Xenopus tropicalis: one gene and its partners. The protein of the gene in region 3 binds, or shares a complex with, the protein of the main gene of each other region. Links are inferred from orthologs where the notes say so. Each region holds a gene or a part of one and is shown on either strand. Other genes may lie near its edges.

Evidence for each region.
Region 1: the proteins of itgb7 (region 3) and flna are in contact, whole or in part, in a crystal structure (PDB 2BRQ), measured with the Homo sapiens proteins. The link is inferred for Xenopus tropicalis from reciprocal best matches to the Homo sapiens genes ITGB7 and FLNA. Residues at the interface, in NP_000880.1 of Homo sapiens: Pro776, Leu777, Tyr778, Lys779, Ser780, Ala781, Ile782, Thr783, Thr784, Thr785, Ile786, Asn787, Pro788; in NP_001104026.1 of Homo sapiens: Thr2263, Gly2267, Ala2268, Gly2269, Gly2270, Leu2271, Ala2272, Ile2273, Ala2274, Val2275, Glu2276, Gly2277, Pro2278, Ser2279, Lys2280, Ala2281, Ile2283, Phe2285, Phe2311.
Region 2: the proteins of itgb7 (region 3) and itgae are in contact, whole or in part, in a cryo-EM structure (PDB 8ZJF), measured with the Homo sapiens proteins. The link is inferred for Xenopus tropicalis from reciprocal best matches to the Homo sapiens genes ITGB7 and ITGAE. Residues at the interface, in NP_000880.1 of Homo sapiens: Val201, Leu202, Pro203, Ser206, Thr207, Val208, Pro209, Ser210, Lys211, Arg213, His214, Cys216, Pro217, Arg219, Leu220, Glu221, Arg222, Leu255, Asp256, Ser257, Pro258, Thr291, Phe292, His293, Thr294, Ala295, Gly296, Asp297, Lys299, Leu300; in NP_002199.3 of Homo sapiens: Phe36, Leu38, Arg91, His92, Arg93, Gly94, Leu111, Arg113, Leu118, Ser119, Ser120, Leu122, Glu196, Glu198, Arg230, Tyr233, Glu234, Phe237, Glu238, Cys239, Asn240, Ser259, Gln260, Val262, Met263, Leu266, Arg300, Leu401, Gln403, Phe406.

What each region holds. Positions count from the first base shown.
Region 1 is NC_030684.2:31,797,180-31,804,466, forward strand, and holds part of flna (filamin-A), read left to right. Parts: intron 1-167; exon of another isoform or gene 168-223; coding exon of another isoform or gene 224-242; intron 243-600; coding exon 601-738; intron 739-989; coding exon 990-1,116; intron 1,117-1,201; coding exon 1,202-1,338; intron 1,339-1,427; coding exon 1,428-1,621; intron 1,622-1,840; coding exon 1,841-1,954; intron 1,955-2,044; coding exon 2,045-2,188; intron 2,189-2,419; coding exon 2,420-2,543; intron 2,544-2,650; coding exon 2,651-2,811; intron 2,812-3,062; coding exon 3,063-3,153; intron 3,154-3,266; coding exon 3,267-3,436; intron 3,437-3,548; coding exon 3,549-3,666; intron 3,667-3,751; coding exon 3,752-4,014; intron 4,015-4,306; coding exon 4,307-4,904; intron 4,905-5,006; coding exon 5,007-5,180; intron 5,181-5,679; coding exon 5,680-5,842; intron 5,843-6,132; coding exon 6,133-6,293; intron 6,294-6,378; coding exon 6,379-6,549; intron 6,550-6,795; coding exon 6,796-6,919; intron 6,920-7,003; and 3 more. UniProt on the Homo sapiens protein: Promotes orthogonal branching of actin filaments and links actin filaments to membrane glycoproteins. Anchors various transmembrane proteins to the actin cytoskeleton and serves as a scaffold for a wide range of cytoplasmic signaling proteins.
Region 2 is NC_030678.2:30,815,717-30,823,651, reverse strand, and holds the start of itgae (integrin alpha-E), read left to right. Parts: upstream 1-2,595; 5' UTR 2,596-2,668; coding exon 2,669-2,711; intron 2,712-7,935. UniProt on the Homo sapiens protein: Integrin alpha-E/beta-7 is a receptor for E-cadherin. It mediates adhesion of intra-epithelial T-lymphocytes to epithelial cell monolayers.
Region 3 is NC_030678.2:147,383,317-147,391,287, forward strand, and holds the start of itgb7 (integrin beta-7), read left to right. Parts: upstream 1-3,457; 5' UTR 3,458-3,550; intron 3,551-7,971. UniProt on the Homo sapiens protein: Integrin ITGA4/ITGB7 (alpha-4/beta-7) (Peyer patches-specific homing receptor LPAM-1) is an adhesion molecule that mediates lymphocyte migration and homing to gut-associated lymphoid tissue (GALT).

The DNA of each region.
Region 1 (7,287 bases), on a different chromosome or scaffold from region 3:
AAGCCTAAGTCTACATTTCTGTTATGGTCAAATCTCCAACAGTTTCTTCTCATCTGTCTGTTTTTTTTCCTTCTTTCAATAGACTACTCTCGCTTTACAATGTTCTTGCTTTTTAAGTCTCTTTTCCTCTATTCTTCATGCCTCCATCTCTGGAAGGTGGTCAGTTCACTGGAACTTTGCTGTCTCTACACGAAGTGTCATTCCCTACTAGCTGGTGGGGAGCATGGACAGAGGTCTTTACGGTACATGTGCATGCCATGTGGTGGTTTTCGGCTTGCGCTTTTTTTTTTTTTTTGTTATGATTTTCTCAAATCCAGTATCTTATAAGAATGCCATTTCATTATTAACTGTACTAATTAGTTCATCTGAAGGATCTTAATAAACAGGATGCATGTTTAGAGCCAGCTATGGTTAATTGGAGGAAATTGCTCATATTTTAATCATTTTGGAAAAAAATCTGCTTCTACTTGAATGGCAAGGAAGTCTTCCCAACATTATGTACTTTCCCACCACCCCGGTACTGCAGTAATTAGAACAGTGAAGTGTCCATAAGCATTACAGTGTGAGTGCTGACTTTTGTTGCTCTTTTTGTTCTTCCAGCTTGCAATCCCGCCGCCTGCCGTGCTGTGGGCCGTGGCTTGCAGCCAAAGGGTGTACGCGTGAAGGAGACGGCGGATTTTAAGGTTTATACTAAAGGCGCAGGAAGCGGTGAACTTAAAGTTGTGGTCAAGGGACCAAGTGAGTGATATTTAGAGAAGCCTTTGTATTCTGTTAAGTTTATTTTTTTTTATTTTTTTCTTCTTGACACATAAACATGGTATTTCATTTTTGGCTCAAATGTTGCTACTGTCCTATTTTGACGGCAATACATTTGTTGACTACAAAACATTTTATTCTATGTGGATCAGTCTCCATTTTGAATTGGTTAGCTAGCCATACTGCTCATGAAGTTTGTCCTGTTTGGGTGACATTTACTGTTGTGCTTGCAGAGGGTACAGAGGAACGTGTCAAGCAGAAGGACCTAGGAGATGGTGTGTATGCCTTTGAGTACTATCCAGCTACACCTGGGAACTATATTGTTACCATCACATGGGGCGGACAGAATATCCCCAGAAGGTGAGCTAGCTTCTCTCTTCCCCCTTTCTCAGCGACTTTGGAAGGACTGTTGTCACTAGCAAGGTATTCATTTTTCCTCCTTCAGTCCATTTGAGGTAAAAGTTGGCACTGAATGTGGACAACAAAGAGTTCGAGCATGGGGCCCTGGTCTTGAAGGAGGGGTGGTTGGAAAATCAGCTGACTTTGTTGTAGAAGCAATCGGTGATGATGTTGGGACTCTCGGTAAGTTCATCAACCTTGTGTATCGATACTCAATTGTGATGAGGCTGTTTGATATCGGTGCAATGCATTTTTTACACTGTCTCTTGTAGGGTTTTCTGTGGAAGGTCCATCTCAAGCTAAGATCGAGTGTGACGATAAAGGAGATGGGTCCTGTGATGTGCGCTACTGGCCACTGGAACCTGGAGAGTATGCGGTGCATGTTCTGTGCAACAATGAGGACATCAAACTGAGTCCTTTCATGGCTGATATCAAACCAGCCCCCAAAGACTTCTACCCAGAGAAGGTAAACAACTGCTGTGAGCAGCTACCCTGTTGCATGCATAGTTTAGCAGAACTTTTAATCTCCTGTTTTGTGGAGATCTATTGCAAATTCTTATTCATGGAAGTGCATGGCTCTGTGGGAGATTGCTTGGGTCGCAGTGCCTTTCAAACCTTTTCTGTGCTCGGTTTACTCCTTGTCTATGCGTATGCATTAACTGCTGCTATTTTTGAAACATTTAAGGTCAAGGCCTATGGTCCTGGGCTAGAGAAGACTGGGTTGGCAATAAACAAACCAGCAGAGTTCACTGTTGATGCCAAACTTGGAGGAAAGGCTCCTCTCAAGGTGTCTGTGCAGGTATGTCTCACTCCCTTTTTTTTAATAAAAAAAGAATAGACTGACTTGCTTCATTCTGGAAATTCCTAACTCTGACTGGTCACCATGCAGGATTCTGAAGGCACTCCAGTGGATGTCACAACCAAAGATAATGGAAATGGCACATACAGCTGCAGTTATTTGCCAAAGAAACCTCTGAAACACACAGCTGTGGTGTCTTGGGGTGGGGTGAACATTCCCAACAGTCCTTTCAGGGTAAGGCCTTTATATTAACAGGTTGACACTAAAGGAATAGCAAGATAGTAGCTCCCAGTAGATAGCAGAATAGCACTCAATAGTAATGAAAATGATTACATTATCCCTTGTATTTTTGTATTGGGTTGTATTATACCTGGTGATAATAGATCTGGTGATAATATCCTTGAAAAAACAAACTTGGTGATAGCTATATATAAAGTAATTTGTATCCACCTGCTTACCTTGTAGATGACTATTGGTGCTGGAAGCCACCCTAACAAGGTGAAGGTTTATGGACCTGGTGTTGCTAAGACTGGCCTGAAAGCTCATGAACCAACCTACTTTACTGTGGATTGCACAGAAGCTGGTCAAGGTGAGAAGTGTTCAGGGTGCTTTGTCAAAATTTGATTTTGAGTTTGTTCTTTGTAAAATTCTACTGTCTCCTGCTTCTCACTCCAGTATATGTTTCTTTCCACTCAGGTGATGTGAGTATTGGAATTAAATGTGCCCCAGGAGTTGTGGGCCCGGCTGAGGCGGACATAGACTTTGACATTATCCGCAATGATAATGATACATTCACCGTGAAGTACACTCCTCCTGGAGCTGGGAGCTACACCATCATGGTCCTGTTTGCTGACCAGGTGACTGTCTGCATCATTGCTTTGTGGTACTATTTTGCTCATTAGGAGGAAATATGTTCTATGCTTTCTAAATCCAACTTTTGAGAAAGTAAGGATTTGTGCTTATTTAACTTTCTAACCACAAACACTGGAATCAATCACTTGGCATATTACAGTTCTAGGTCTGCAGCTCCTACTGACCTGAAAAGTTAGAAGTCTCTCATATTTGTTATTGAAGAATTCACCACTGACAAAATCCTTCTGTGTTCTAGGCTACTCCAATGAGTCCATTCCGTATCAAGGTTGATCCATCACATGATGCAAGTAAAGTTAAGGCAGAAGGACCTGGACTAAATAGAAGTGGTAAGAATTGTTTCAGTGGCAAACAAGCTATTCAACTATTGGCATTGTCTGCAGTTGGTTACCATCATGACTTCCCAGAATCCTTCATTATGTACCTTCCTGTGTGTTTAAAGGTGTAGAAATTGGAAAACCAACTCATTTCACAGTTAACACCAAGGCTGCTGGAAAAGCCAACCTAGACGTGCAGTTTACAGGTCCAGCCAAGGGAGAGGCTGTGAAGGACTTTGATGTTATTGACAACCACGATAACACCTACACCGTAAAATACACTCCAGTGCAACAGGTACATCTGCTGAATCTCTTCTTGGTTAAATTAATTTTCATTGGAATGTCTGATCTGGTAGTGACTTTATTCTGCTTTTTAAAATTTTATTTCACCTTATTTTTCACTCTAGGGTAACATGGGTGTAAATGTGACCTATGGTGGTGACCATATTCCAAAGAGTCCCTTCACCGTTGGCATTGCCCCAACTTTGGACCTCAGTAAAATCAAAGTTTCTGGACTTGGTGACAGTATGTATTTTTCTAGATTATGAATTTGGAAGATCTTTAGCTTTTGATTTACAACTTACAAGCTTTTATATTTTCCCCTGCCCAGAGGTGGAGGTCGGGAAGGATCAGGAGTTCACAGTAAAATCCAGGGGTGCTGGAGGACAAGGCAAAGTGGCTTGCAAGATCACAGGACCATCCAACAAGTCTGTTCCTTGCAAGGTGGAACCTGGTCTGAGCCCAGATAACAGCACTGTCAAATTCATCCCTAGGGAGGAAGGCCCATATGAGGTAGACGTGACGTACGACGGAGTGCCTATACCTGGTAGCCCATTTCCCGTTGAGGCAGTTCCTTCAACAAATCCTTCAAAGGTAGAGCTCCTGTGTTAATCACTTAACATAGAAACTTAAATATACTATGGCCAATGTTGGTTTGATATTGGTCAAGGAGAACTCATGAGTTTTGGTGTTGCAGGCAGGGCATCCATTAGTGGATGCAAATTTATGCTCACCAATTCCTGGGGTCCTGGAAATCGAACTTTTGTTAAGATAACAATTCTATATAGTAAAAGAGGCCTACCGGGTATTGAATAGTTGTCCTTTTTGAGAGTGTAGTTATGCAGGATAGAATTTCATTAGCTTAACTTTTTTTTTTCTTTTGCAGGTCAAAGCTTTTGGACCTGGTCTAAAAGGAGGCAGTGTTGGTTCCTCTGCACCCTTTACTATTGACACTAAAGGTGCAGGCCAAGGTGGGCTTGGTCTCACTGTTGAAGGTCCATGTGAAGCCAAAATAGAATGTCTAGACAATGGAGATGGAACCTGTTCTGTCTCTTACTTGCCTACAGAACGTGGTGACTATAATATCAATATCTTGTTTGCTGATACACATATCCCTGGATCACCTTTCAAGGCTAAGGTTGAGCCATGTTTCGATCCTTCAAAGGTGACCTGTTCTGGTCCTGGTCTGGAACATGCTCAGGTTGGAGAAGCTGGTAAATTTAATGTGGACTGTTCAAATGCTGGCAGCGCTGAGCTTACCATTGAAATTATCTCAGACAATGGTATGCAAGCCGAAGTACACATCCAGGACAATGGGGATGGAACTTACACCATTACATACATCCCACTGTACCCAGGGGTCTACACTATCACCATTAAGTATGGAGGACAGATGGTGCCCAACTTCCCAAGTAAGCTGCAAGTTAAACCTGCCATTGACACCTCTGGGGTTAAAGTCTATGGACCAGGAGTTGAAGGGAAAGGTAAGTGCAACACACGAGCACTGTAAATATTTTTCGGGAGAAGTCTGTGGATTGAAGTTTTATAGATGTTTAACAAGGATTTTCTGCATTTTTCTTCTCCAGGGGTTTTCAGAGAAGCTACTACAGATTTCAATGTGGATGCTCGGGCTCTAACTAAATCTGGAGGGCCTCATCTCAAGACCGTGGTCTCCAATCCTTCTGGCAACTTTACTGAGGCATTTGTGCAAGACAACGGAGATGGCACATACAAAGTGGAATATACTCCATATGAAGAGGGTAAGCCACACAGTAATTGGGCCATTGGTGACAGTTTGTCACAAGATTTTACTTTACTAATGTATGACTGAAACATAATTGTCTGAGGCACTGAACAATGAAATATTCTTCTGCACCTCAACATTCTGGACACAAGGGTGCAATCACCTTAATTCCCTTAAACAGTCAAAAATGAACATTGTAGTAACATAACCTCTTGTATCGGTTATTGATTGCTTTATATGTTACTCCGTATGTCCAATGTATGTAACCCACTTATTGTACAGCGCCGCGGAATATGTTGGCGCTTTATAAATAAATGTTAATGTAAAATGTAATGTAAATTGAAGGACATAACAAAACTAAGTTGTAGACTGACGACAAATGTATGAATAATGCTATAAAATGCCTTAACATGCTATGTTCATTTGTGTAAGTGAAACAAAATAAAAACTATAAGTTACAAATAAACTAAGTTCTAGAATGGTTGAACCCACTTCTAAAATATGTTTTCCATCAGGAATCCACTCTGTTGATGTAATCTACGACGGAAGCCCAGCCCCAAAAAGTCCCTTTGTGGTCCCTGTGACAGAAGGGTGTGATCCAAGCCGTGTCAGAGTCCATGGCCCTGGCATTGTGAGCGGTACCACAAACCAACCAAACAAATTCACTGTGGAGACAAGGTAATTTCATAGTATTATGCTGTGCTTTCCTAAAACTACACTCTTAACTTCACTTGGGTTACTCCTGCCAAAGAGAATGCACTTAAACTGGTATGTTATTTTGGAGTAGTAAACTATAGCCCTAAGCATAAGTTTGTTTAAAGCAACATTTTGATTGGTTGCTCTAGGATTAACATGGCTGAATATTCCTTTCATGTTTTTCTCCTTTCACCAATTTAATAGCAAAAAAAAAATCTTAATGTTGCATAGGTATGAAGCAATATCCTAAGCATTTTCCTTTCCATCTGTAGAGGAGCTGGTACAGGAGGGCTTGGCTTGGCTGTTGAAGGTCCATCAGAAGCAAAGATGTCCTGTACCGATAACAAGGATGGCAGCTGTTCTGTGGAATACGTACCGTACGAACCTGGCACATACAACCTTAATGTCACATATGGTGGACATCAAGTTCCAGGTAAGATTTAATGCGTGTAACCATGCTAATGTCGGGTATCTGGTTTCTGCTGAGTAACTGTGCTCATTACTTCATTGCCATGCAGGTAGCCCCTTTAAAGTTCCAGTTAGCGATGTGGTCGATAGCTCAAAAGTCAAATGTACCGGCCCTGGTTTGAGCCCCGGTCTTGTAAGAGCAAACGTCCCTCAGTCATTCAGTGTGGACACAAGCAAAGCTGGAGTTGCTCCTCTGCAAGTCAAAGTTCAAGGTCCCAAGGGTAAGCTAAAAATGTATTTTAGTAGGTGGGAGATTGCTTTATTACATTGTGTCCAAAGGGTTTATGACACGATTATGTTCTCCACGCCACACTTGGTAAATAGATCTATTTTTATTAAAAAGGTTACTTTGCTGAGCAAGTAGGTACCATAGCTTAAGGTCATCCTTTAAAGGATCAGTGATCATAACCTTGTGAGGGTTTTTCGAACTGTCTGGTCAACAATTGTATAATGTTTGATATTGATAGGTATTGTTGAACCAGTGGAAATTGTGGATAATGGAAATGGCGTCCAGACTGTCAACTATGTGCCAACTAGAGAAGGACCTTATAACATCTCTGTACTTTATGGTGATGATGAGATACCTCACAGGTAAGAGCCAAACTCTGTTCTCTGATCTTCATAAGTTTTTCTGGAATTTTTGGTTTCTTTTAACCTTGTGTTCTTTACTCTCAGCCCATTTAAGGTTAGGGTTCTGCCAACTCATGATGCAAGTAAGGTGAAGGCAAGCGGACCAGGCTTAAACACCACTGGAGTTCCTGCCAGCTTGCCTGTGGAGTTCACTATTGATGCCAAGGATGCTGGAGAGGGCCTGCTTGCTGTTCAGATAACTGTAAGTGCCTTAAAATTAAAGTGTATATAAGAATCTCTTCTGTGTTATTACTGTAGACTAATCTGTCCCTCCCCTACAGGATCCAGAGGGCAAGCCCAAGAAGGCTACAATCCGTGATAATCAGGAT
Region 2 (7,935 bases), about 120 Mb from region 3:
CACTATCCAGAACATGTCCAGAAATAAGTATACTTTTTTTTTACTTTTTCTTTAATCAGACACAACTGATTTGACAGATTGGAAGGAAGCCATGACAGTCTATATGTGACTCATAGGAACCATTCCCCACCCCCTAAGGCTCACAGTATCACTTGACCCCTCCCTCACCTTGTTCCATTGCAAAGTGATGGATTCTGGGACTTAAAGGCCCTCTGTTTTACAGAGAATCTGTGCAGCAGCTGCTCATGTGGCACATAAAACTAGAGTAACCAGATAACTTGAAAATTCAATGACCCATCTAGTAAATACATGTTGCAGGGCTGCACTGATTGCATTTTAATTAAATTGCAAACAGTGCAGCCCTTCTAGATAGATTTTCTAGAGCTGTCCCTAAATTTTCCTATCACATTCACACACTAGGGTCAGCTTAGTCAGAAGCCACTTAAGCTGCCTGTATGTTTTTTGTGTGGGAAAGTACCCAGAGGAAACCCACGCAGAGAGAACATACAAACTTACCTGACTTATTCAAACCATCTGTGCACCATTATAATCTTTTAAAAAATCCTGTATAGTGCAGTGACAATTGGTATGTACAGTGGTGTGAAAAACTATTTGCCCCCTTCCTGATTTCTTATTCTTTTGCATGTTTGTCACACAAAATGTTTCTGATCATCAAACACATTTAACTATTAGTCAAAGATAACACAAGTAAACACAAAATGCAGTTTTTAAATGAGGGTTTTTATTATTTAGGGAGAAAAAAAATCCAAACCTACATGGCCCTGTGTGAAAAAGTAATTGCCCCCTGAACCTAATAACTGGTTGGGCCACCCTTAGCAGCAATAACTGCAATCAAGCGTTTGCGATAACTTGCAACGAGTCTTTTACAGCGCTCTGGAGGAATTTTGGCCCACTCATCTTTGCAGAATTGTTGTAATTCAGCTTTATTTGAGGGTTTTCTAGCATGAACCGCCTTTTTAAGGTCATGCCACAACATCAGGTCAGGACTTTGACTAGGCCACTCCAAAGTCTTCATTTTGTTTTTCTTCAGCCATTCAGGGGTGGATTTGCTGGTGTGTTTTGGGTCATTGTCCTGCTGCAGCACCCAAGATTGCTTCAGCTTGAGTTGACGACCAGATGGCCGGACATTCTCCTTCAGGATTTTTTGGTAGACAGTAGAATTCGTGGTTCCATCTATCACAGCAAGCCTTCCAGGTCCTGAAGCAGCAAAACAACCCCAGACCATCACACTACCACCACCATATTTTACTGTTGGTATGATGTTCTTTTTCTGAAATGCAGTGTTACTTTTACGCCAGATGTAATGGGACACGCACCTTCCAAAAAGTTCAACTTTTGTCTCGTCGGTCCACAAGGTATTTTCCCAAAAGTCTTGGCAATCATTGAGATGTTTTTTAGCAAAATTGAGACGAGCCTTAATGTTCTTTTTGCTTAAAAGTGGTTTGCGCCTTGGAAATCTGCCATGCAGGCCGTTTTTGCCCAGTCTCTTTCTTATGGTGGAGTCATGAACACTGACCTTAATTGAGGCAAGTGAGGCCTGCAGTTCTTTAGATGTTGTCCTGGGGTCTTTTGTGGCCTCTCGGATGAGTTGTCTCTGCGCTCTTGGGGTAATTTTGGTCGGCCGGCCACTCCTGGGAAGGTTCACCACTGTTCCATGTTTTTGCCATTTGTGCATAATGGCTCTCACTGTGGTTCGCTGGAGTCCCAAAGCTTTAGAAATGGCTTTATAACCTTTACCAGACTGATAGATCTCAATTACTTTTGTTCTCATTTGTTCCTGAATTTCTTTGGATCTTGGCATGATGTCTAGCTTTTGAGGTGCTTTTGGTCTACTTCTCTGTGTCAGGTAGCTCCTATTTAAGTGATTTCTTGATTGAAACAGGTGTGGCAGTAATCAGGCCTGGGGGTGACTACAGAAATTGAACTCAGGTGTGATACACAACAGTTAAGTTATTTTTTAACAAGGGGGGCAATCACTTTTTTACACAGGGCCATGTAGATTTGGAGTTTTTTTTCTCCCTTAATAACGTAAACCTTCATTTAAAAACTGCATTTTGTGTTCAATTATGTTATCTTTGACTAATAGTTAACGGTTTTTGATGAGCAGAAACATTTAAGTGTGACAAACATGCAAAAGAATAAGAAATCAGGAAGGGGGCAAATAGTTTTTCACACCACTGTATATACTGTTTATACTGAATATATATATTTGTTAGGGGGCTCACACAAAGTAACATCTAATATCTCTTGGTGAAGTATCCGGTTTTCCATTTATGACACCACCTATTAATAGCATGTAAGCTCTTTGGGGCAGGGATCCTATCCCACCTGTGTACAGAAACTCATAGCATTTATATATTTACTCTCACTCTCTGATTGATGCTGTTCCCTGTTTGTGTTTATGTATGTTTATGTGCATTGCGAACACTTTTGGTGCTATGTAAGAAGTAACAAATACAATACAATAAAAAGTGGTGGCATGGAGATGATTGAAAGTGGAACAACAATGAACAACAGTGGAACTAGACAGAAATGACAGCAGAGTGTGAGACCTGGGGAGTGAAGACGCACACACACCCACACACACCCACACACTGAGAGCTCAGTCTGAGCACTGTTTCACTACCAGGCTGGATTCATTCACAGCATGAGGACTGGCACCTCCATTCCCGGTTTTATCTTCATGATAAGTAAGAACTTTTTACAGCTATATTATAGATATTTAATTGCAGCAGTAATACTGATAAACCCTTTTCAGCAGCAACACCAATATGCTTCATCCTTTTTGTCTGACACTTGTACACTGTCTGACAGTCTGACACTCATCTTGCACAGACTTTCATGCTTTGATTGCATCATGGAGAATTTATGTCATTATTTTATACTGGAATTCCTGCTTATCCCAAGTAATTGATTCACTAAAATCCCATTTAGAAATTAAATTCTATACTTTTTGTATAGTTGGTATATGGGTCACTTCCAGGGTTTAAAAGCTAATTGACTTACAAGCTGGAAAAAGTTGGAGAGCTTTGTTTGTAAAATCAATTTTAAGGGGTGGTTTATCTCTGAGTTAACTTTTATGTAATAGAATGGCCAGTTGAAAGCTCATTTGGTCTAAGATATTTCTTTTTTCATTTCTTTTTGATTTTGTTTGTTTTTGTCAAGTAAAAGTGGGTGTGGTCTTAATATTAATGTTATTTTCCGCGACACAATTTGCACACTGCAGGTATTATTTCTTCCCCTATTTATATCCCTTTTTAGGTGAAAAAAAAACAGGCAGACCTATTAATGTATGTAGAGATTGATATTCTAAGTTATTTGTCATTGATCTAGAATTTTCTTTGAAGAGGTAGTTCACGTTTAAATTAACTTTAAGTATGAAATTGGAGTGCTATTCAGAGACAATTTGCAATTGATCCTCATTTTTTTATTATTTGCAGTTTATTAACCAAAACTCAGTTTAGAAGCAGATATACACCTCATTTCAAGGGGTTGTTAAATTAACCTGATGATATTCTGAGGCAACTGCAATTGGTCTTTATGTTTTTTTATGTGTGTTTTTTTTAATTATTACAATGTTTGTTTAGCAGCTCTCCAGTTTGGCATTTTAGAAGCTACCTGGTTGCTAAGGTCTAATTTAACCTAGCAACTATAAAAAATGAGGCACAAATTGAAAAGTTGCTAAGAACAGGGAATTCTTTAACATACTGAAACTAATTAACCTTAAGGTGAAATACCGCTTTAAACTGAATTTTATCCATATTATTGTTTTTTTTTATTACTACTTATCTTTCTATTGATGCCGTCTTCTATTCATCAACCAGACTTCCATTCAAACCCTGGTTGCCAGGGTAAGTGTAAGTGGGCACAGCAGATTAAAACTGAAGAGCTGCAGAGCAAATAGTTAAAAAAAATATAAAGTATCAAACCTAAGGGCCATTTGCAGTTTGACTAAAATACTACTAAATGCTTTAAACATTAATTGAAATGACCTGTTATATGTATATATTGTTAAATCTTACAGTTGTGTAATTGTGATATCAAAGGGCCAGTAAGAGCAATGCCATATAAAGCAAATTCAGGTGCCTATTAAACCTTAATACAGTGCTGTCCAACTGGTGGCCCGCGACCCCCCTCTGTGTGGCCCCCCACCTGTCTGGCTGCTTTGATAATTTACCTTTGTGTAAGCTTTAAATCTATCAGAACTGAGATTAACTGGCCCCGTGCATGGTTCTCCCCTCAGATTCAGGCTGTAAACCCCCTGTATTGTTTAAACATGTAATCCCCTGTGTTGTTCACACCTTTAAATCCCTGCATTGTTCACCCCCTGCAGTGTTCACACCTCAGGCTCAGGCTGTAATAACCCATATTGTTCTCCTGTTCACACCTCAGGAACAGTAGAAACCATGCACACTATAAAAAGAACATATACTGAGGTGGTACTGCAATTAAAAAGTTTTTTAATATATAGTTATTGTGCAGACTGTAGGAGCAGTGCCAGCATTGTGTCACTGTAGGCTGCCTGTATGTGCCATACTCTGCCTGCCCTATGCTTCCTGTGTGCCATACTCTGCCAGCCCTATGCTGCCTGTGTGTGCCATACTCTGCCTGCCCTATGCTTCCTGTGTGTGCCATACTCTGCCTGCCCTATGCCGCCTGTGTGTGCCATACTCTGCCTGCCCTACCCTGCCTGTGTGTGCCATACTCTGCCTGCCCTATGCTGCCTGTGTGTGCCATACTCTGCCTGCCCTATGCTGCCTGTGTGAGCCATACTCTTTCTGCCCTACCCTGTCTGTGTGTGCCATACTCTGCCTGCCCTATGCTTCCTGTGTGTGCCATACTCTGCCTGCCCTATGCTGCCTGTGTGTGCCATACACACAGGCAGGGTAGGGAAGGCAGAGTATGGCACACACAGGCGGCATAGGGCAGGTAGAGTATGGCACACACAGACAGGGTAGGGCAGGCAGAGTATGGCACACACAGGCAGGGTAGGGCAGGCTGAGTATGGCACACACAGGTAGGGAAGGCAGAGTATGGCACACACAGGCAGGGTGGGGCAGGCAGAGTATGGCGCACACAGGCAGGGTAGGGAAGGCAGAGTATGGCACACACAGGCAGGGTGGGGCAGGCAGAGTGTGGCACACACAGGCAGCATAGGGCAGGCAGAGTATGGCACACACAGGCAGGGTAGGGAAGGCAGAGTATGGCACACACAGGCAGGGTAGGGAAGGCAGAGTATGGCAAACACAGGCAGTGTAGGGCAGACAGAGTATGGCACACACAGGCAGGGTGGGGCAGGCAGAGTGTGGTGCACACAGGCAGGGTAGGGAAGGCAGAGTATGGCAAACACAGGCAGGTTAGGGAAGGCAGAGTATGGCAGGTTTTTGCTGTAGTGCCACCATTAATATGGCTATGGTCATGCGATACATTGGGTGTGGTTTCAAGTGGGTGTGGTTTTAAAAAGGGGAGTGGTGAAAAATAGCTTCCATTTTCAGCAATCCACCACGGAGGCCGGAAAAATTCCGGCCCTCGGTGCCACAGAAGTTGGACAGCACTGCCTTAATATATTTCACCAATGAGCTGATCACCAGCACTATGTCAGCCAACTTGCTGTTACCTTATATACAGAGATTATGTCACTTTTGCTTTTTTATATTGCACTAACTGCAAACTAAATGCTTTCAAACTTCAAATGCAGAAACAAAGAACGTATAGCCAGGCTTACACAGATCAGGTTGGACTCTCATTGGAGGATCCTTTTGCACATTAATGCAGCTGCAGGCTGAGGAAAGCTAGGGAAATGTTTTATTGTGTCATGTTGCTATAAGAATACAATCTTAATGTTGTCTGACTACAGCTCCCAGCATGCCTAAACCTTAATAATATGTTACATTACTCAGGGATTGAAGTGTGGGTTATCGGGGCAGTGCAGCAGGGTTCAGATCCCCATTAATAATGTGAATTTTTGACTAGAGAAGATAATTGTAACATCAGCATATCTGGTTTACCTTCAAACTAACTTTTAGTTTGTTATAGAATGGGCTATTCTTAGCAACTTCAATTTTTGATTGAAGTTTGATTCAAGTTTTTGAATTTTTTGCTTTCTTCTTCCAACTCTTTTCGGTTTTCAAAAGGAGGTCACTGACCCCAGTAGCCAAGAAAACTATTGTTCTGTGATGCTACAGTTTGAATTTTATGTTATATTTTATTACTTATCTTTCTATTCAGGCCTCTCCTATTCATATTCCAGTGTCTTAACTGCTTGGTTGTTCAGGTAATTTGGACCCTAGCAACCAGATAGCTGCTAAAATTCCAAACTGGAGAGCTGCTGAACAAAAATCATAATAAATAAAAAACCACACATAATAAAACATAAAGACCAATTGCAGTTGTCTCAGAATATCATCAAGTTCATTTAAAAACCTCTTGAAATGAGGTGTATATCTGCTTCTAAACTGATTTTTGGTTCTTGAAATTGATCCATTGGTTTAATTTAGGTCAAAAAGTTCAAGAAACACTGACCTAATGGGAGAATATAGCACCTTTCTAAGAAGCATTAGCGTGAAATGAAAACTAATTTAACTCATTTGAGTTTTTCAGCACCAAATGATGAAATGCTGTGAGCACATCTGTAACCCACGGTTTTGTCACTGAGGCCGGAAGGCTTTGCAGAAGTAGGTCTAGGATTCAGAGCAGATAGAGCCGGGGATGAGACGCACTGCGGGTAGTGTGGCTGGTGAGGTGTCATGCAAAGCTTCTTCTGCTTAGGAACATATGAATTATCTTTCTCATGCGCTCAGACTGAAACTGTGCCCCAGGCACGCACGTAGAAGCACCGCCCCAGTGATATCTCAGTGCTAATTCCCTTCCCCGCCAAATGAAATCCTAACACAGTGCTGTCCAACTTCTGTTGTACCGAGGGCCGGAATTTTTCCGACCTACGTGGTGGAGGGCCGATAATGGAAGCCAGTTTTGACCACTCCCTTTTTTGAAACCGCACCCACTTGAAACCACACCCATGTTATCACATGACCATACCCATATTAATGGTTGTAGTACAGCAAAAACCTGCCATACTCTGCCTGCCCTACCCTGCCTGTGTGTGCCATACTCTGCTTTCCCTACCCTTCCTGTGTGTGCCATACTCTGCCTTCCCTACCCTGCCTGTGTGTGCCATACTCTGCCTTCCCTACCCTGCCTGCGTGTGCCATACTTTCACTGTGTTTGCCATTCTTGGCTGGTTTGTGCCATACTCTGCCTGTGTGTGCCATACTCTGCCTTCCCTACCCTGCCTGTGTGTGCCATACTCTGCCTTCCCTACCCTGCCTGTGTGTGCCATACTCTGCCTTCCCTACCCTGCCTGTGTGCCATACTTGGCTGGTTTGTGCCATACTTGGCCTGTGTGTGCCATACTCTGCCTGCCCTACCCTGCCTGTGTGTGCCATACTCTGCCTTCCCTACCCTGCCTGCGTGTGCCATACTTTCACTGTGTTTGCCATTCTTGGCTGGTTTGTGCCATACTCTGCCTGTGTGTGCCATACTCTGCCTTCCCTACCCTGCCTGTGTATGCCATACTCTGCTTGCCCTATGATGCCTGTGTGTATGGCACACACAGGCAGCCTACAGTGACACAATGCTGGCACTGCTCCTACAGTCTGCACAATAACTATATATTAAAAAACTTTTTAATTGCAGTACCACCTCAGTATATGTTCTTTTTGTAGTGTGCAGGGATTATTTGTGGGTACTGCTCCTGAGGTGTGAACAGGGGAACAATATGGGTGATTACAGCCTGAGCCTGAGGTGTGAACACTGCAGGGGGTGAACAATGCAGAGATTAAAAGGTGTGAACAACACAGGGAATTACATATTTAAACAATACAGCCTGATTACAGCCTGAATCTGAGGTGAGAA
Region 3 (7,971 bases):
CCAATGGGTTCCCACTGTGCGTCTAATTGGGTTTTTATTTAACAATCCTCAAGTGACCTTTTAATAACCAAAAAGGATCTGCATCCAAGCCTATCACTAAGCTCATTTTATTCAGTGCTTTGCAAGTCAGATGCAAGATGAAAAACTGGGCTACAGCCGCTCCTTCCTTGCTCCCCAGAATGGTGTGGCCTGTGGCTATTTGCACAATACCCCACACAGTTAGCAGACGGCATTGGGCTTTGTGAATGAGCCCTCTTATCTTAACTCTAATGGTCTCAGCACCTCCTCACCACTCACATTAAGCACCTTGAACAGCACTCTGATAGGCACCCTGAGTTTGTGAAAAAACAGTATGAAAGCTTCTGGGAAATCTGTATTTACAGGCTATGAGAGCACTGAGAGAATTTGAAATTTCCAATTTCAAGGTCCATTAAGGGCCTGCTTGACTGGTGTAATGCCCTAGTATTGTCACACTTCCCTCAGCTTCTAGACAACACCATATCTGAGTGAGAGAGCACATTACAGTGGCATCTAAGGGAAGGCTAAACTGCAGGAACATGAGTATACATTCCTTTAACTTAATCCAAACATCAAATAAATCCAAAATTCGATTTCAAATTGGGTGTCAGGTGTTTTAATTTAAAACTATTCAGGAAAATGTTGGCTGCACCAAACAATAATGGTGGAAGTCTGGAGCTGGCATTAAATTAAGCGTAGGGGAAGTTATTCTGTGTCGTTGACAAGTTCAAATCTCAAGGAGAACCTAGTTACGTATAAAAAACAGAAGGTGCTTTCTACTATTACACAAGTCAAGCATAGCCGGCAAGCACCAGGAAATGAGCGATTAGATGAGCGATTAGACGGTACAGGTGTCTAACGGCCATTAAGCATATGTTTCCTGGCATCTCACCAACATGCTGGAGATGTAATCAGGGAAGGGAATGCCCAATATATATACATATATACACACACACACATACATTATAAAAACCCTTCTGGTTACAGGTTAAAAAATCCAGCAGGCAATAGGAAGCGACTTACCCAGTGATCCAGCAGGCACCATACTCTCTGTGCTGTTGGGTTCCTCCAACACTAGCAATGAATAAATACCCCAATGCTTGCTTCGAGCAGCCATTCCCAGATACTGGAAAACCCCAACTGGAGGTTTCAGGACGTGTAAATGAAGTATAATGAGAATGGAGGAACCGAGAGTGATAGGGGATATTAGGTTAATAGAAATTTGGTCTCAGTGATGGAATATACAGAACTGAAAAGGTACAAAACTCCAGAACAAAATGGTTTGGATCTTAAACCTGTAACCGACGAAATGTAATGCAAGTAAATGAGAAAAGAAAATGCTATTTTATTAACTGTGAAGCTAAGACTGAGTTAAGCATTCTTTCTCCCCACAAATAACTGTAACCCATACCTCATGTACAGGTATAAAATATGAGGATTACCATGTACAGGTATGGAACCTGTTATCCAGAATGGCACCTGGGGTTTTACAGATAATTTGGATCTCCATACCTTCAGTCAACTAAAAAATAATTTAAACATTAATTAAGCACAATAGGTTTTGCCTCCAATAAGGATTAATGATATCTTAGTTGGGATCAAGTACAAGGTACTGTTTTATTATTACAGAGAATAAGGATTATTTGTTTATAATAGAGTCTATCGCATTGTTTGCTATTTATGTATATTAGATGTTTTTGGATCAGTCTGTCTTTCTTGAGAACTGTGTGCTTTTAGATTAAATATACCATATTAGCATTTGTACAGTGTTTATTACATGCTCTGAATTTATTTCTCCACCTGGATGATTTTCTGCCTGCAATTTATTATTTGCCACGGTGGCTCAGATTTTATCACTGCAGCTTTGCAAATCTGTAGCCTGGGTTCAAGCAAGTTATAGGGGTCACATACAACCATGGGGGTGCAAGAGTGTCCCCCTTAGTGCTCAACAATATTCCCTCTAAGCAGTGCAGATTTTGTGGCCAGTGCACACAACACTGTGTGAAAACAATTTAAAAAAAAAAAAAATCTGACCTGAGCACACAGTATTCAAAAATGTGCACACCCAGGCCCAGATTTGTGGAGAGGCCACAAAGGCCCGGGCCTAGGGCGGCAGAAATTTAGGGGTTTTGAATTCTGCTCCCATACGGAGGAATGGGGACCTCTCCCCACTGCTCCATATGGGAGTTTAAATGTATGGTGTGTGCATGCGCGCTTGTGCTCTCTGCTGCGGCCGGGGACTCGCACTCTCTGCTACGGCGGGGGGGGGGGGCTTGTGCTCTCTGCAGTGCCGGGGGGGGCAACCAGTGGGGGCGGTCTAGGGGCACATAACGAAAAAGGAATTAGTGAACATTGGCACTCATTTACTAGCAATTGTGCCCCCAAAAAATTGTAGATCCCTACAAAAAGCTTTGGATCAAAAATCTAGTGCTTGGTGCAGAGAGCAACACCAGGAGGTTCAGTTCAGCCCTGTCATTAGGGCCTCAAGGCAGGCAGTATAGACAGGGCTCAGTAGCCGGCTGCACCTCCTGCCTCTCCTGTTTTGCACCTCAGAAGGACTCAAAAAGTAGGGGCAGGTAGGTGGTGGGAGGAAGGACACCTATGTGCCTCAGAGACCTGAGCTGTTTTTACACTGCCAATTGCCAATTGTTCCTTTTTTGCATTTAGCACAGTGCGTGATACATTATAATCGAGCCTTAATATGTTCTACCCATGACTGTGTGGGAGTCCTGCATTACCACAATTTCCTCTCACACTCCAAAAACAGACAGGCAGATTAACTGGCTCCTGATGTGACTCTAGTATGTTGTATGCATGTGCTAGGGACTTAGCTTGTAAGCTGCACCGGGGCAGGGACTAATAATAACGATGATTATAAGAGGTCATTTACTACTCACGCTGGCAGAAGTGCCACTTGGTGTTCATTCAGGCAGAACTTGTGCCCAGGGAAATAGTTGTGCTGGGCACATAGTGCAGCGTCAGAGGGCACAGGTCAGCCCTGAAAATATGCTCTGGGTTAGCAATATAAAGGATTTCATTTTTGTTTCTTCTCTATGAGTGAAACAACTGAGAATCTTTCACCTTTCCTTAACTTGGATTAATTGCATTAATATCTATCAAGGCTTGAAGGTCTCCTCTCACCCTGCCCAACAATCTGTCCAGCCAATTTGCAATAGTTTGAACCCCTAGTTCATTGTCAAGGACAAACTATCCAACACTCCTGGTGCCTTGATGCTCACGGTGATTAAGCAACATACGGTCACAGGGAGTTCCTCAGGAATTACACCCTATAAGCTGTTTGTATTGCAGATAACTGCTCAGAATCATGCATTCATTACACAACGCAGGCACAGTTCATTTCTTCCGCTCATGCTATGGGCTTGTGGCTTTTCAGGGGCTGGGACAGATGATGAGGAAGGGGTTTGAGGTGATGGGGGGTTGGGTAGGTTTCATACTTTGTTGCAAAGTCTGATGATTATCATCTGTTTAGTTCTTAGTTGTTTGGCAGAAGAGCCCTGATCTGCGGGACACAGTAAGTCAACATTTCGCTTCTTTCAAATTTCCCTCCCTTGGCTTCGGCACCTGTCCCTCTGAATATGACCTTACGAGGGGCCTCGTTCCATTTTACAATCATACCTAAGCAATTCCCTAGGTATGATTATGATTTCTCTGTTTCACACCCTGCAAACAACAAAGATAAGGATCATGAATCTCATTGGTGATGGAAAGGAGAAAGGGGGCAGAAGTGAAAGAAAGACATTTCCTTTGTTAGATAACTTGGCACAAAGCAGAAGTTGGTACCAATGATGCCAGTGAATGGACCTGTGAGCTCATAAGTGACTGGGTTTCTTGCCTACATTGTTATATGGTGTTCTCCATAGGAAAGCATTTATGCATGGGGGCTTGCCTTAAGCGCTTACATAGGGTATTGTGTTGACAGTTTGTGGTTAAGGACCATTGGACTCCTGCAAAAAAGTTATGTACCAAGGAAAGATTATTTATATTGGTTATATACACACTCAGAGTAGTGGGGCCCAGAGTAATGGTTGGGGGCCCAAATAAAAGGATCCTTAGGGCAAAGTTAGAGGAAATTTAATATTTGCTCTCCAAGGTACTCCTGGCAGTCAGTCCTGAATGCCAATTATGATGTTTGGGCACACACATAAAACACCTTTGTTAATAATAAGGGTGACTTCAACCAAGTGTTTGACGTTAAACAGGTTGTTCAACTTTGAGTTCACTTTTATTATGATATAGAAAGTACTATTCTGAGACAATTTGCGACTGGTCTTTATTAGATGTTTTATATTTTAAATGATTTTACTTTTTGTTCAACAATTAAAAGTCAGAAGCGGAAGGCAGTATGAAATGGCCGCAGGCACACCCTGTCACGGCTACCTGGTGCTGTACATAGCACACAATTTCCATGCACAGATGAAGGGAAATCATTTCAAAACTCATTAATAAAGACCAGTTAACAAGTTGCTTAGATTTAGTCTATAACATACTAAAAGTTAACTTAAAGGTGAACCAACACGTTTAAAAGGGGTTTGAACCCAAAAGTCCAAGAAACAATGCTCTATACACCAGTAGCCCCAACAGTGCTGGATCCAATGCCTTTATTGTTAGCACATAGGTTTCCATGGCTGACAGATGTCTATCTATTGTAATCCCCACAAAACTATCTTTTTTCCTGGCTCAGGTTGCCTTCTGTGGGTGATAACTGAGAGAAAACACACACTTTCACCTTTTTGGGGGGTTTTAATGTTGGGTTTGTATGCCCTTTGCACTGGATATAAATGGAGAGTGGCGGGGAGCAGCTAGCTGGCAGGTACAGGTATGGGATCTGTTATCTGGAATGCTTGGAACCTGGGTGTTCTGGATAAGGGATCTTTCTGTAATGTGGGGTGCATTTTTAGGCTGCTAAAAACATTTGAGAATAAAAATCTGTTTGGATTGTTTTGCCATCAACATGGTTTTGTCTTAAATCAGTCAAAAATGAAGAACTGTTTTTTTAAATGGAAATGTATAGGAAATGGCATTTGTTTATACAGGTATGGAATCCCTTATCCGGAAACCTATTATCTAAAAAGTTCCGAATTATTGGAAGGTCATCTCCCATAGACTCAATTTTAATCAAATATTTTAGGTTTTTAAGAATGGTTTGCTGTTTCTCTGTAATAATAAAACAGTACCTTGTACTTGATCCCAACTAAGATATAATTACCCCTTATTGGTGGCAGAACAGCCCTATTGGGTTTATTTAATGTTTAAATATTTTTTTAGTAGAATTAAGGTATGGGGATCCAAATTAGGAAAAACTCCTTATCTAGAAAACCCCAGGTTCCGAGCATTCTAGATAATAAGTCCCATACCTGTAATAGGTTTCTGGATAATGGATCCCATGCCTGGAGCAGCCACAAACGGCAGCCTGTTTGCTATGTCTGCCTGCTAAGCACTGCTCTGTACATAATCAGTTTATATCCCAGTTGCATTTGTCACCCTGCAAGCTGCCGTGCTAAAGAAAAGTTCCCCTGACATACATATCCTAACTGTCACCTACAGCTGCAACACAACCAGACAACTTCTTCATTTGCCTGGTCATTTCTGCTGTATAACACAGAGTCACACAGACTGGGTAGTGCATAGTTTTGGTGAAAAGGGAAGAATGAATTCTCAGAGCTTCTCACTATACTCAAAATGTGAGGTTTGAGCTCACCACAGAAAAACTTTTTTTTCGCCCACTTTTTATTCATTCCTAGGGGTTTTTTAAGACACGTATTTAATAAATTGTGAATTTAGGAATAAATAGAACGTGGGTGCATTATTCTGTGGTGAGCTTTAATTTCATACTTTGAGAAATCTTCCCCATAGCTTCCTTTAAGTCACTTAAGGCTCAAGGGCTTAATTAAAAAGCAAGTGAAAAGAACCAGTCAGTTCCTAATTCACCATGTTTTTTTTACCAACAATGCAGCATGTCTTCTAAGAGTTTCATACTAACTGTGCGGCTCAGCATCGCAGCAATACGGGGACAAGTCAGTTACACCCATGAACACATCCCAGTATGGGACCGGCGGAATTATGAGCAGGTCTGGGTGGGGTCCCTTGCACCCGTATCTACAAATGCACACAATGTACCAAGGCAGGCTGGGTGGTTGCATTGTTGCTCGCTGCAAGTTGCCGAGGAGCATGCATGGGTGCAAGTCCCTTCATGAATAGTGTCAATACATGCTCTGTTATGTGCTCATTCTTCCACCTTGCACTTTATTGCATTCATAAATGAACCCTTCTGTCTCTGCTTTGAGGAATAAGGTGCAATGTGCAACATACAGAACGTGCAGCTGCAAAGGGCTCTGGGATTAACACATGTATTAAGGAGGTGATATTTCCAGGGTTCCCCTCTGGGTGTTGTATCTATACATATAACTGACTGACACCCAATGAATCGTGATAGTACAGATCCCAGCAAATTTAGAAAATCTTCACACTGGGATTCATAAATGAGCACTAGTGTGTATAATATATAAGGATGGTGCCAGGGGTTGGGGACTGCAACTGTGGGATACTGTGGATATTAGGGAAGATGGTGTTAAAGGAGAAGTAAATCTTACTTTCAAAGCTATTAAGCTTTTTACAACTGAAAATGTAATTAATTTTGTAACAACAACACAGCCTGCTAGCCAGTTCTTCTGACTGTACAGTTGATGAGAACATGTTTTGATGGAAAACAGAGAACTGTTCGGACATTGCTCTGCTCAGGATAGGGATCAGAAACCTCAGATGCCCTTTCCAATCTCATTCATGAGCCGAGCAACATCAGAACCGTTCTCTGTTTTTCTTGTGAGCGTGTATCTGTCTGGCCATACAGTTAGAAAAACTGACCAGCAGGTGGGGCTGTTGTTACAAAGTTCATTATATTTGCAGATATAATCAGCTTAATAGCTTTGAAACAAGCAAAAATATAATGTAAATATCAAAAGTGCTTAGAAGAGCATCCTGACCAATTTTACATTTATTTTTTTATGGTTTACTTTTTCTTTAAGAGAAAAGACTCTAGCTCTGTAGCGATGACAAGGGAAGACAAGATAGCATGAACCATCTAACATCTAGCCTCCATCAGTAGTTGAATTAGAACTTCCATTAATGTCAGACTGACCGGGAAAATAAGGAAAAATCCCAGTGGGCCTGACCCTGTTGGAAACTGCCACCTACCCACAAGCCGGCCACCCCAACTCCCTTCTCCACTGGGAGTGGGTGTGGCTGCTGCGAATAAAGTAGCGCAGCAGAGCGGGAGCAGCGGTGGCTGGGTGATGGGCCCTTGAGTCGGGTACCCAGTGGGTAATGTATATTTCAAGAATAGGTTATCTTCCCTAGTTTTGCCGGTAAAGTTTATAAATAATTTTTTGTGGGACCCAGTAACTTCCAGTAACAGTACTGATGTTGCCATGGGAACAGGCAAGAAGAAGAGAAGTTCTGCCCAACAACTTTTTGTGGTGTAAAACAGACAACTGAGCAATAACAGAGTTCCATATCTTTCCTGCCAATCAGGTCTTTGCTTTCCTTCCTTTTCTCTGTGCGCTACTCTGGGGCCTGTTTGTAAAGATACTGCTGATATGTGGAAGCAGAAACATTACCGGCTTTCTTCATACTCTAGATTGCATAGTGATAAGATATTAAAACATTTTTCCCAGCTGAAAATCTGCCCCTCAAGACATTAAGCACAATACATTATCTGCCCACATATTGCTTACTATTCATTTTCACAGAGAGACCTTTTAACAGGGATTTTCATCTTTGAGGTAACTTTTAATATGATGTAGAACAGTGCTGTCCAACTGTCAGCCCGTGACCCCCCTCTGTGTGGCCCCCCACCTGTCTGGCTGCTTTGATTGCTTACCTTTGTGTAAGCTTTAAATGGTATCAGTACTGAGATTAACTGCCCCCCTGCATGGT